Arabidopsis thaliana: one gene and its partners. The protein of the gene in region 2 interacts with the protein of the main gene of each other region in a pairwise test. Each region holds a gene or a part of one and is shown on either strand. Other genes may lie near its edges. The genes, in order: AT5G59650, AT1G10660 and AT1G16170.

Region 1 (3,758 bases), on a different chromosome or scaffold from region 2:
CCTGGACATGTTGATCTCAAGGTCGTGGTCTTCAAGTGTGATTGGTATGATTCAAAAGTTGGGAGAGGTATACGAAGAAACAAGTCAGGGATTATTGATATTAATGCTAAAAGGCATTATGAAGAGTATGATCCTTTTGTTTTGGCTTCACAAGCAGATCAGGTATGTTATGTTCCATATCCACGGATGACTCAGCCGAGAAAAGATCAACAATGGGAAGCAGCAATTATGATACAACCGAGAGGGAAAGTATTGATAACAAAAATCTGGATTTCACTGCAATGCAGCATGATAACGATGATTCTATTGTTGAAGTTGATTCATTACAAATCGAGACACTATCATATCTAGATGCCCAACCAGAAGATCTTGATGATCCAGTAGTAGAAGCCGAAGATGGATCAGATGCTGAAGATGGAAATTCTGATATCGAATTAACTAGTGACGAATCCGAATAATTTTTTTTTTCATTTGGACTTTTTACAGCTTTTTTTGTATTATCAAAAACATTGTTTCCAAAACTGAAGAAGTTTTTTTATTTAATTTTTTGTTCACAAGTTTTTATTTTTGTATTAAAATTGGTAACACTTATGTCACAATCTATGACCAAACGCAAAAGTCACTAAAACAGTGACAAATTGTGTCATCGTTGTTACAAAATTCTCGTAACTATACATGACATAAATTCAGTCACAATTATCGTATAATTTAGTTACTATATTTGGTCGCAAATCCGTACTTATATTTATGACTATATAATTTGTAACAAATTTGACATAATTAGTGACAAACATTAGTTACATTCAATTAAGTCATAATATTATAACGAAATAGTAACGTTTTTATGACCAAATAAATACGTCACAATTTTGTATGAAAATGGTCACAATTTTCTGACGAAAATAATGACCGTAATTTTTTCGTAAGAATATCGATTTCTGACCAGACGCTCTTCAATATCCGTTAGTAGTTGTGACACTTGAATGTGGTTTTGGACATGTCACCAGAAACTTGTCTTCAAGTGGTCTAACTGGAACCATGGCTGCTGCGATTCAAAATCTTACGCAACTAGAAACTCTGTAAGTAAGCTTGAATAATATACATACCGTTGCGTTTAAAAAAGCTACTCTCCAGCGACCGTGTTTCCAGCACTCCAAATTCATTATTTTCTGTTTAATGGGCTGATAAAACCCATGTTTGGCCCATAACAATTATTTCTGTTATTATAGCAACGTTGAAAAATATACATACCGTTGCGTTTAAAACGCTACTCTCCAGCACTCCAAATCGCCAATCGCGTTCTCAAACAGTGCTAATCGCCGATGAAGAGGTCTCATTGTCATCGCCGTCCTTCTCACGACGGGAGATTTCGCTGCCGTATATGGCCGATTTATCTCCGGAGATTCCTCACATTCGTCCTCCTCCTCACAAAAGTTATTGGGCCGGCTCAAAGAGATGGAATCAAAATTCTCTCAGTTTCATGGCCGGAAGGTAATTTCTCAGTTTATGATGTAACTGAAAATCCTTTAAAAATTTGAACTTTATGATTTTAGATATCTGATAATGGCGTCTTTGTCTTGAAATTTGTTTCTTCATGTTGACCCACTTCTCTTTAGATAATAGTCATTGTTGATAAATGTGAATCCTCTGCTTTGTGATTAGAAGCTGTTCTTGTCGATGAAGACGTCAAAATGTGTATTAATTAGTGATAAATTATCCGATATGATTCAATCAAAGTCACTGACCACTAGAAAGTCAAATCTCTTGCTTTCTCTCTGTGTGAACATTTTTTAATGCGTTAAAAGAGTGGTGACTGTAAAACCCTCTATTGACATATTCTCTTAAAAACACAGAAGTTGCATATTATTTTTTCTAAATACAAGTTGCATATATTCTGACATTCTTGGGACAAATCAAATTTGTAATTGTAAAGTTGCAATAGAAAACACATTTACTCATTCGTTTCACTGACTCAGGACATCTTGCCATGTTGCCAGAGGCTTGGACTGTTTCTTGGGTTTATCTATTTATACGCTGTGTTTCTCTCAAACTCTGGCATTGGTAAGGTTTTGATATCTAAAAGCAATTATGGATAGTCCTTGTTGGCTTTTGCTGCTGCTATTAGGAGCTTTTGCCATTATTGGTTGTGTTCAAGCTCAGGATCAACAAGGTACCTAAATCTTAATGGTTTATATGTATATTACACTACTACTTCTTACTGATTCGAGTCTTAGTTATGTTTGTATCTGAGATGCTTTTGATTTTTCACTCTCTTAACAGAGTTTATCAGTTTGGATTGCGGGTTACCCATGACTGAACCGTCTTCTTATACTGAGTCAGTAACCGGACTACGGTTCTCGTCTGATGCTGAATTCATCCAGACTGGTGAAAGTGGTAAAATCCAGGCGAGTATGGAGAATGACTACCTTAAGCCGTACACGAGGCTGAGGTATTTTCCAGAGGAGAGAAGGAACTGCTATAGTTTGAGTGTTGACAAGAACAGGAAATATTTGATCAGGGCTAGGTTCATTTATGGGAATTACGATGGTCGTAACTCTAACCCGATATTTGAACTGCATCTAGGACCTAATCTGTGGGCAACTATAGATTTGCAAAAGTTTGTGAATGGTACAATGGAGGAGATCCTTCACACTCCAACATCAAACTCTTTGAACGTTTGTCTTGTTAAGACAGGGACAACTACACCCTTGATCTCAGCCTTGGAATTACGGCCATTAGGAAATAATTCTTATCTCACAGATGGTTCTTTGAATCTTTTCGTTCGGATATATCTCAACAAGACAGATGGCTTTCTTCGGTAAGTGTTTTTTTTTTGGTTAACAGTGATGGATTCTATATTCCTATACTCTTTATTTTTAACATTCCTATACTTATTCAAGGATAATACAACCTTTGTTCCACATAGGTACCCGGATGATATTTATGATCGCAGATGGCATAATTACTTTATGGTGGATGATTGGACCCAAATTTTCACCACTCTCGAAGTGACCAATGATAACAATTATGAACCACCAAAAAAGGCTCTTGCAGCGGCTGCCACGCCTTCTAATGCCAGCGCGCCATTGACAATCAGTTGGCCACCAGACAATCCTGGTGACCAATATTACTTGTACAGCCACTTCTCTGAGATACAAGATTTACAGACCAATGATACCAGAGAATTTGACATATTATGGGATGGAGCTGTTGTTGAAGAAGGTTTCATCCCTCCAAAGTTAGGGGTGACTACTATCCATAATCTTTCTCCAGTGACATGCAAAGGAGAAAATTGCATTTACCAGCTAATAAAAACCTCGAGGTCAACTCTTCCTTCTCTACTTAACGCTCTTGAAATCTACACAGTTATCCAATTTCCACGGTCGGAAACAAATGAAAATGATGGTATGTTACTTATCTTCATTGTTATGCAGATACAGTCTGTTTTTTTTTTTTAACTAGAGAAATCAACTTCACCTGCTAATTCTCACATCCTTGAGCTCTACATCAGTGGTTGCTGTTAAAAATATCGAAGCTGCCTATAAATTGAGTAGAATCAGGTGGCAAGGAGATCCTTGCGTCCCTCAAAAGTATGCGTGGGATGGTTTGAACTGTAGCAACAACACAGATGTTTCTAAACCTCCAAGAGTATTATCCTTGTAAGTCGTAAGATCCAAGATATGAACATGCACACTTTGACACTTATCTTCAAAATAAGTTAACTATCATGCTTTGGAATCACCAGAAATTTGTCTTCG
Region 2 (3,758 bases):
GTTAGCACAACAGCACCTGCACAAGTCTATCCCAACAGAAAACTTTGTAAGTCCTTTTGAAGCTTTGAGATGGCATTGTACAGTCTTCACTCTCAACAAGATAACTTAGGGGAAAATAAGACACTTACTTGGAAAAGGATCTGAAAGATATAAACCCAAAACCCCGCTGTTTTTCGGGCGGGTGCTTCTGAAGGTCTATTGGAAGCTTTTGACGTATTTCCCTCCCCATCAAGAGCGATTGGTGGTCTATAAGTGCCTTGTTCCGTATCACCTATACTTGTATAACTCTCCATGTTTCCACTAGCTTCTTTATTATAGATGCAGCATCCATAAACAGATAACACCGAAGCATACTACGAAGAAAAAAAGTATCACAGATTTAGTATCTAAAACTAAGGTAGTAACCTCAACAACGGAATTTCCAAGAGATGTACCCCAAAGTAGAGTGTGACAAGAGTAAATGTCCACCTGTTTCAGAAAAAAAGTTTAGATCTTTTTCATTCATTTCAAGGATTCAGAAATGTGAGAAGGAAGTATAATGATTAAAACTCACTGAGTATAGAAGTAGAATATGCCAGCTCCATCGCGCACAACATTGGAAATGAGTAAAGTCAACATTGCAACAAACGAGAATACCCTAAAGGCAAGCAACCAAAGAGGGTGGATTCTTTTAAAACATGTGGTCCAAGCTTCATCTTGGAACAATGTCCCTGGTAATTCTCGCTGGCTCTCGCGTTGTCTTCTTCTCTTGCCTTCATATTTCCAAATGAGAACAGCTGCTAATACTATTGGAGCTAAGAGGATTAATGCACAGAGGAGGACCCTCCAATTCAACCAGTAACTTGAAGCTGTGGTATCAGCAGCCATGGCCAGTCAATACAGTCCTAAGATTCCACCAACAAAGCAAAAGAGAACATCACCACTAAGAAACATATTGGTCACCCATTCTCACACTGTTCTGTTGCAAAGAGTGACAAAATGTCTCTGTAAGAATCTCAAAAAGTTTTAGAATTTGAATTATTCACAAGACTGTAAGATGGCGAAAAAGGTAAGACCTTTTTGCACTAACGGACAAATATAATTGGAACAAGAACTTGCGATATAGAATCCATTTCAATTTTCATAAATTAACGAAGTTTTTCAAAATTTCATTGTATCGAGCAAACAGAACAAAAAGAGAGGTGAATCCTAAAATACAGAAAGATTACTTGGAGATTCGAAGATTGAGAGGAGACTCTCTTCTAACGCATCCTCGCAACGACTCGAAGATGCTGAGAGCCTCCAGGAAACCACAAAGAAACCAGAAGAAGAAAAAAGGAAAGATCTTTGACGGGATTATAAGTTGGCAGAGGAAGAGGAGGAAGATGGAAAATTTTGTCGTGCAGATTTTTTATCCGATCTAAACGGAATCGCCACAAATCGCAATTAATTTTTACAACCCCGGTTTTGTTCGGTTTAGGATATGTGTGTACCTCTGTATTTCTGTTGGTGTGACAAAAAAAAAAGAACCGAACAGGTGTGAGCGCAAATCAATTCCGTCTTTCACTTTTCTTAAACCGGAGATAACCGGACTTTAATGTCACTTTGTTAAAACATTTGTTGCTGCATTATGTTTTTAGGAGGAATATGCTCAAATATCCAACTCTTATTTCCTACTCATGAAATCGTGTAGATCTTTGAAATAAAATATCCAAAAAAAAAATTTGTCAAAGGAAATAACCAAATTTCCAACATCTTTTCATATGCAAATCTTTGCCTATCTTTTGTCACCATTTTTTTTTTTTTTTTTTTACATTTATACACCTAGCCAGCCTCGTTTGGAACTTAAAAATATACATTATAAACAACTAACTGAATGATCGTCAGTTGCACTTATTCTTTCGTAAAAGGAAATAAAGTGTTTTAGTTTAGATTCAAATTAGTATTCAGAATTCGAACCAGATTGGTCGTTTTCTATGCCGGCGGGATTGGTTTTAGTCTTAGTGTCATATTTTTAAGGTTGCTTATTTAGATGCAGTCTATTTACTCAAATTAGTAAGCGCTCGTCATGGTTTAGTTAAAAAATATATTTTACACATTTGCTATATATAAATCGTAAAGCCTCTTATAATCGAGGGTTTTCAATAAACAGACTGCATCTAATTATCTAAATAAGCAACCTTAAAACTAGTTTACACACGAAAATCAATCTTATCTGCTTAATCTTATAGGGGAACCTTATGACATCAAAAGGACCACAGATAATAAGCATGAGTATTTCATCATAGGAATATGTAATACATATGCCTAGGTATATATAAAGTTCAAGCTTTTTCTCCTATATATCTAGCTACGAGCCTAAACCAAGTCTTCATTATATCCTTTTCGCAAACCTCGGCGATCTTCGAACATATCCGCCTGATAAAGAAAACATAACTCTCATCAAAATGAACTATATAACAACATACTTGATGTGTGGTTTATATGTTGACTGAGGAATTAATTGAAATTTGTTAACAATTAGAAGAGGACATTTGATCCCACAATCTCTTACTTAAGAAGGGCCTAGGAGAGACGAAATGCCCATACGTTTCAAAGAAGTCCTTGTTTTCTCTTTGAAGTCCTCTCCAAACTGCGGGGGGGGGAAAAATATCATGTAATTTTTTTTGTAGCACACTTGCAAAGCCTAATATATAGCTGAAAACTGCATAAATTAACTAGTTACGTTGAAAAACTGTTGTGAACTCAACAATATAAGTTATGTCGAATATATAATGATGAACATACATGATCCAAGAAAACAATAATCAATTTCTTCAATTGTTCCATATAATTATATAATTTGACGTACGAAGCAAAATCGAAACATATGTCTAAATATCATTATTAATTCCTTTTAGTTAACGAAGCTTTCGAACAGTTTTGAGGAATCATATAGAGGTTATATGTGTAACGTTGTAAAGACTAACCAGTGAGTGTAACGAGTGGTAGAATGCTTGCGTGGTGGTCTAACGCCTTGACGCATTCGTCCCGCGTCATACGGAGTAGAATGCATCTCTCTATCATATGTTGAACCTAACAAAATCAACCACTAGTTGTGAGGATTGTTACATCAAATACAAAACGTATAAACTATATACAGTATGTGTATATATGTAGTTATGTACCATGCGAATGTAAGAATGTGGTTGGCAATGGAGACAAGGGAGATTGTTGTGTTGTGATTCATCAGCATGAGTACACATTTTCCTCTCTTCTTCCTTATCCTTTGATCTTCGCTCTTCTTCTTCTTCTTCTTAGATCTCCAGTTGATTTGGGGAACAAATCCAAGAACTTTGGAAGAGAATTATGAGTTATAGCGCTGAAAGGAACAAAACAAGAAGATATTTTCTTAGACAAAACTAGGAAGCTTCTAAATATAAATACACATGCATATACATACGCAGATACACATGTGGTTATATTGGATAGTGTCATTTAATGAGTTATCCAAGAGAGATCCAAGTGAAGGGCTAAAAATAGAGGAGAGGATCCAAAGGATAGATTCTCTATCCGTCACTTTTTCAACTTGATATCACATTTTATTTTATTTTGGTTGGAACTAACTTGTCTTTTGACTATGACTTCTCAGTTTACTTTGTTTTTTTCTTACTTTCTGGGACATAGGTTCTGCCAAACTTTAATTAGGGTTCTTTAATTTTGTCTGTTTATTTAAACGGGCAAGTTAAATGAGATTACAAAGAGTAATTAGTAATTACCGGACAAAATACTTTTGGCAG
Region 3 (3,758 bases), 2.0 Mb from region 2:
CAAGTCCACTGTAACAGAGGTACATGCAGTACAGAGATATAACCGATGCTGGTAAAATGCTTCCACCGACCTGCAAAAGAATAGGTTAATTTGACTTCAGTGAGCCTGAAATTGGGAATCAAATAAGATCTCAGATAAGAGAAATATAAGGTTTCAGTCAAAACTTACAGTAGGATGCAAAACTACAATGGCAAAGACGAATACAAATATCAAAGTCATGATAATGAAGAAGGTGTTGAGTCCACAATCATGTCCAGATGGAGTAAACCAGTGGAAGAGAAACCCAGAGAAGACGAATGTTGCCAAGTAACATACAAGAGAAACAACGAGCAAAGCAGCATACCTATATATAAAAGTCAAGTACTTAGATTAGTAGTGGGATAATGAAGTCACATGATTTAATTGCAAATATATTTACTAACCAGAACTGCTCGTCGTAGCCAACCCATGTGTCATTCCATCCATGAACAAAATCCAAAAGAAGTACAACTTGAACAAGCAGGAAAAATCCAGCACCAAACTTTGACATCGACTCTGCAAGATGTAAAATTGATTCCCATTAGTTCCAAGTTAATCGATTCACTAATCACTTTGCAATGATAAACAGAAACTTACCATAGAAACTGATGATTTCATTTGGAAGGAAGAACATAAAGATGACTAAAATGCACCAACAGATTATTTTCATCATCCAACCACCATGGTGTATACCATCACGAGGGTCTTTCTGATTTTTCACACCGATCATCATAACCGATAGAATAGAGAAAAACAAGAAATTCCCTAAGCTGACACGCAACACAGCATCAGTCTCAAACCATTCACGATCAGGTGTCTTGTGAAAATGGTTAATCCCTGCACACAATGTCAATGATTAGTTGCATACACCAAAATAATCTCACGAGAAGTATAATAACAAAAAAACTTACAAGGGAGCTTCTCCATGAGAGGAGCAGCAACTTCACGGAGAATCCATGAAACGATTAAGGAAAGTGCAAAGAGACCACAGTAAGCAATTCTAGCAGAACGTCTGCTGATCCCAGAAACCACAGTACGGCAAGCATCGCAGGCACAAGCAGCACAACACGATGCGAGACAAGAAGCTGCAAACATCTTCTTTCTCCTCTCAGATTAAAGGTTGGATTCAATATTCAGCTGCTAGTATCAACCAAAACGCAAACACAAATCATCAAAACACAAATCATCAAACAAACAAAAAAAACTAATTTCGGATGGAGACGGTAAGAAAAGCAGCTTTTTAAAGACCGAATCGAAAATTAATCAATTTTGCTCAGAGATAAACAGAATTATTTGGAATCAATTGAAATTGGTTAAAATAAGCTGAAATTTATCCCCAAATTCGAGATGAAATCATAGCTCCCGATCTAAAGCTTCACCCGAGAAACCTAGCTTTAGGGATTGAATTTGACCTCTGGAACAAAAGAAGGAAAACGAAAATCGCTTGAGAAAGAGAGAATCAAAATACCTTGCGATCGATCAAAAACCTTGAGCTATCCTCTCCTTGAAAAGTAAAACAACTCGTTGTTTCTTTATTATCTCGCTCCTGATTTCGGACTTTTGACCAACTTACAAAGGAACTAGTAAACCATCAATACCAAGTTTTCATGTTTGGCCCACTAATGGCCCAAATTATTTTAATTTCTCCTTCTGTTTATCATGCATGGGCTTTTGATTAAGATAGACCTCTACTAAAACCTTGCAAGTCTCCTTACAAAGAAAAAGAAAAAAGTTATAAAAAAAAAACTCTAGGCTATTGGGGGTAAATAGTTTTGGTTTGGATGCTAAATGCTAACCGGCTAAAGTGATTCACGGCAACGGCAACTCAGTCTATTAGGATTTCAGTGCAACTAAAACAATGTATTTTAGACTTTTAGTTTAGTTGGAAGCAAACCAAAATATTGAACACCTCATACTGTCATACAAATACAATATACAAAAGTACTAAACATTATCGTGATTACTAGAACATGAGTTGTCTTCTCGTTAATGATTAAAAAAGTTTATCTTAATACGTATTCGTAAATGCCCTCTGGAAGCTGCAAGAGTCAGATCATAGTCCTAGGTAAATGTCATCACTCATCATCGGATTCTAACAACATGCCCATCATCTTCAAAACACAAAGGAGTGGAAGCTAACAAACAACGCATCATCATTTTTTTGTCCTCTTTATATATCTTCTTTCCTATTTTTTATCTTTTTATTGTTTTGTATATAAAATCCCTAAATTCCCGTTTTATGTAACGGACATAATAAGCCGCGTACGGCGTATCCGGCAAATCGGCCCAGCTCGAGCCATCATCAATCTACGGAGGAGATCCATCTCTCTCTCTCTCTCCATATCGCAACAACACTGCTGAAGATTTCGGGGGTTGTCGACGGAGCTGGAATCTAGCTTTTTCTTCTCCAGATCTCTAAACCGATTCTCACCGGTTCGTTTTCTAATAATCTTTCACCTACTTCGGATCTGTTTCCCTCGATTATCCAATGTGCATCGATCGCGAGTTGTTGTTGTTGTGTATTGTGATTGATGATTGATTGAGAATGACGTTATTGTTGGCAATTTGTTGCTTTCATTTTCATCTTTCGTATACGATCCAAGCTCTTTTGTAATTATAATTATGACTAATGTCGTTTCCACAACCAATCAAAACAGCGATATGTGTCTCGAATTCTTGTTTCTCATTGACATTTATGATGGTTTATGATGGAAAAGTGATCTCCCAAATGTTACATTCAATCTGATTGTGATGATCTCCTTTTCATAGCATGTTTATGTTTCTTGTAAAATTGTGTTAAAACGACTTGTGTGTCAATTTTTGCAGGTTAATTGGTATTATAAAGCCATGGTTCTTGATGGGCTTGTATCTTCACCGTCAAGGAGACAACAATGTCTAAAGAAGCAGTGGGACGAGTTGGGTAGCTGGTCGACTCTTATTCAGAGGCATCAATATCTCTTAACAGCTTTGGCTCTTTTGGCTTTCCTCTGTACTGTTTATCTTTACTTTGCAGTCACTTTAGGCGCTAGGCACTCGTCCTGCTATGGCTTGACCGGGAAAGACAAGGCAATGTGTCAATTACAACTTGTTCAAGCTCTCTCCAAAGGGAAACTTAAATTCTTCTAGACTGTTTATCTATCGGTGAAAGTTTGAAACCCCCACATTTATTGTTCTTGTACTAAAACATTCTTTTTCTTCTTTATTCTATAATGCAATTTGTGTGTATTATTACATGGTGAAATAAAACCAGAGATTCATAATTGAAAGATAACTTTATTTCATCAGATGAGATGAGAGTATACATGTGCACTGTTTTGAGTCGGATCGTCACCTCCGGTTGTATGTCAAGCCTCTATTAGGCGCTCTTATTAGAGCTCATGCGTTTCTGTATATTTGGGAATTCTTACCAGCGGAATGATGATAGCAGCGGGATATAACTTCTACTACCTACACAGGTCGAGACTCTGAAACTGAAACCATAATGCTTGAAGTCAAACATTTTCTGACACATCGTTGACTCCTAGACAAGTAAGTTTTTCCAGTCATCAAATAATACATTCAAGTCACACCAAAAGTCCACACTTCATTTTCAAAAGTACATGTTAACTTCGAATTTCAAATACACTTTGTGGCTAAAGATGGATGACTTGCTGCCGAGTGATCTTATTGATTTTCTTGTCACCATATACATTACATAAAGGCTGAAATATTCTTGTACACGCTTCCAGAATCATTCTCTG

Evidence for each region.
Region 1: the proteins of AT1G10660 (region 2) and AT5G59650 interact in a protein complementation assay, tested with the Arabidopsis thaliana proteins (one large-scale study listed by BioGRID).
Region 3: the proteins of AT1G10660 (region 2) and AT1G16170 interact in a protein complementation assay, tested with the Arabidopsis thaliana proteins (one large-scale study listed by BioGRID).

What each region holds. Positions count from the first base shown.
Region 1 is NC_003076.8:24,029,258-24,033,015, forward strand, and holds the start of AT5G59650 (Leucine-rich repeat protein kinase family protein), read left to right. Parts: upstream 1-2,088; coding exon 2,089-2,170; intron 2,171-2,280; coding exon 2,281-2,818; intron 2,819-2,926; coding exon 2,927-3,382; coding exon of another isoform or gene 3,383-3,405; intron 3,406-3,464; coding exon 3,465-3,659; intron 3,660-3,745; coding exon 3,746-3,758. UniProt on the Arabidopsis thaliana protein: Required for accurate photosynthesis.
Region 2 is NC_003070.9:3,530,118-3,533,875, reverse strand, and holds the start of AT1G10660 (uncharacterized protein), read right to left. Parts: upstream 1,648-3,758; 5' UTR 1,209-1,647; intron 985-1,208; exon of another isoform or gene 959-984; 5' UTR 868-958; coding exon 554-867; intron 469-553; coding exon 435-468; intron 354-434; coding exon 129-353; intron 27-128; coding exon 1-26. Other genes in the region: AT1G10657 (uncharacterized protein), read right to left, coding at 2,354-2,397, 2,534-2,683, 2,949-3,054, 3,147-3,224.
Region 3 is NC_003070.9:5,538,260-5,542,017, reverse strand, and holds AT1G16170 (ephrin-A3 protein), read left to right. Parts: upstream 1-2,015; 5' UTR 2,016-2,451; intron 2,452-2,844; 5' UTR 2,845-2,865; coding exon 2,866-3,144; 3' UTR 3,145-3,352; downstream 3,353-3,758. Other genes in the region: AT1G16180 (Serinc-domain containing serine and sphingolipid biosynthesis protein), read right to left, coding at 1-70, 169-343, 423-534, 616-855, 930-1,113; WAKL5 (wall associated kinase-like 5), read right to left, coding at 3,749-3,758.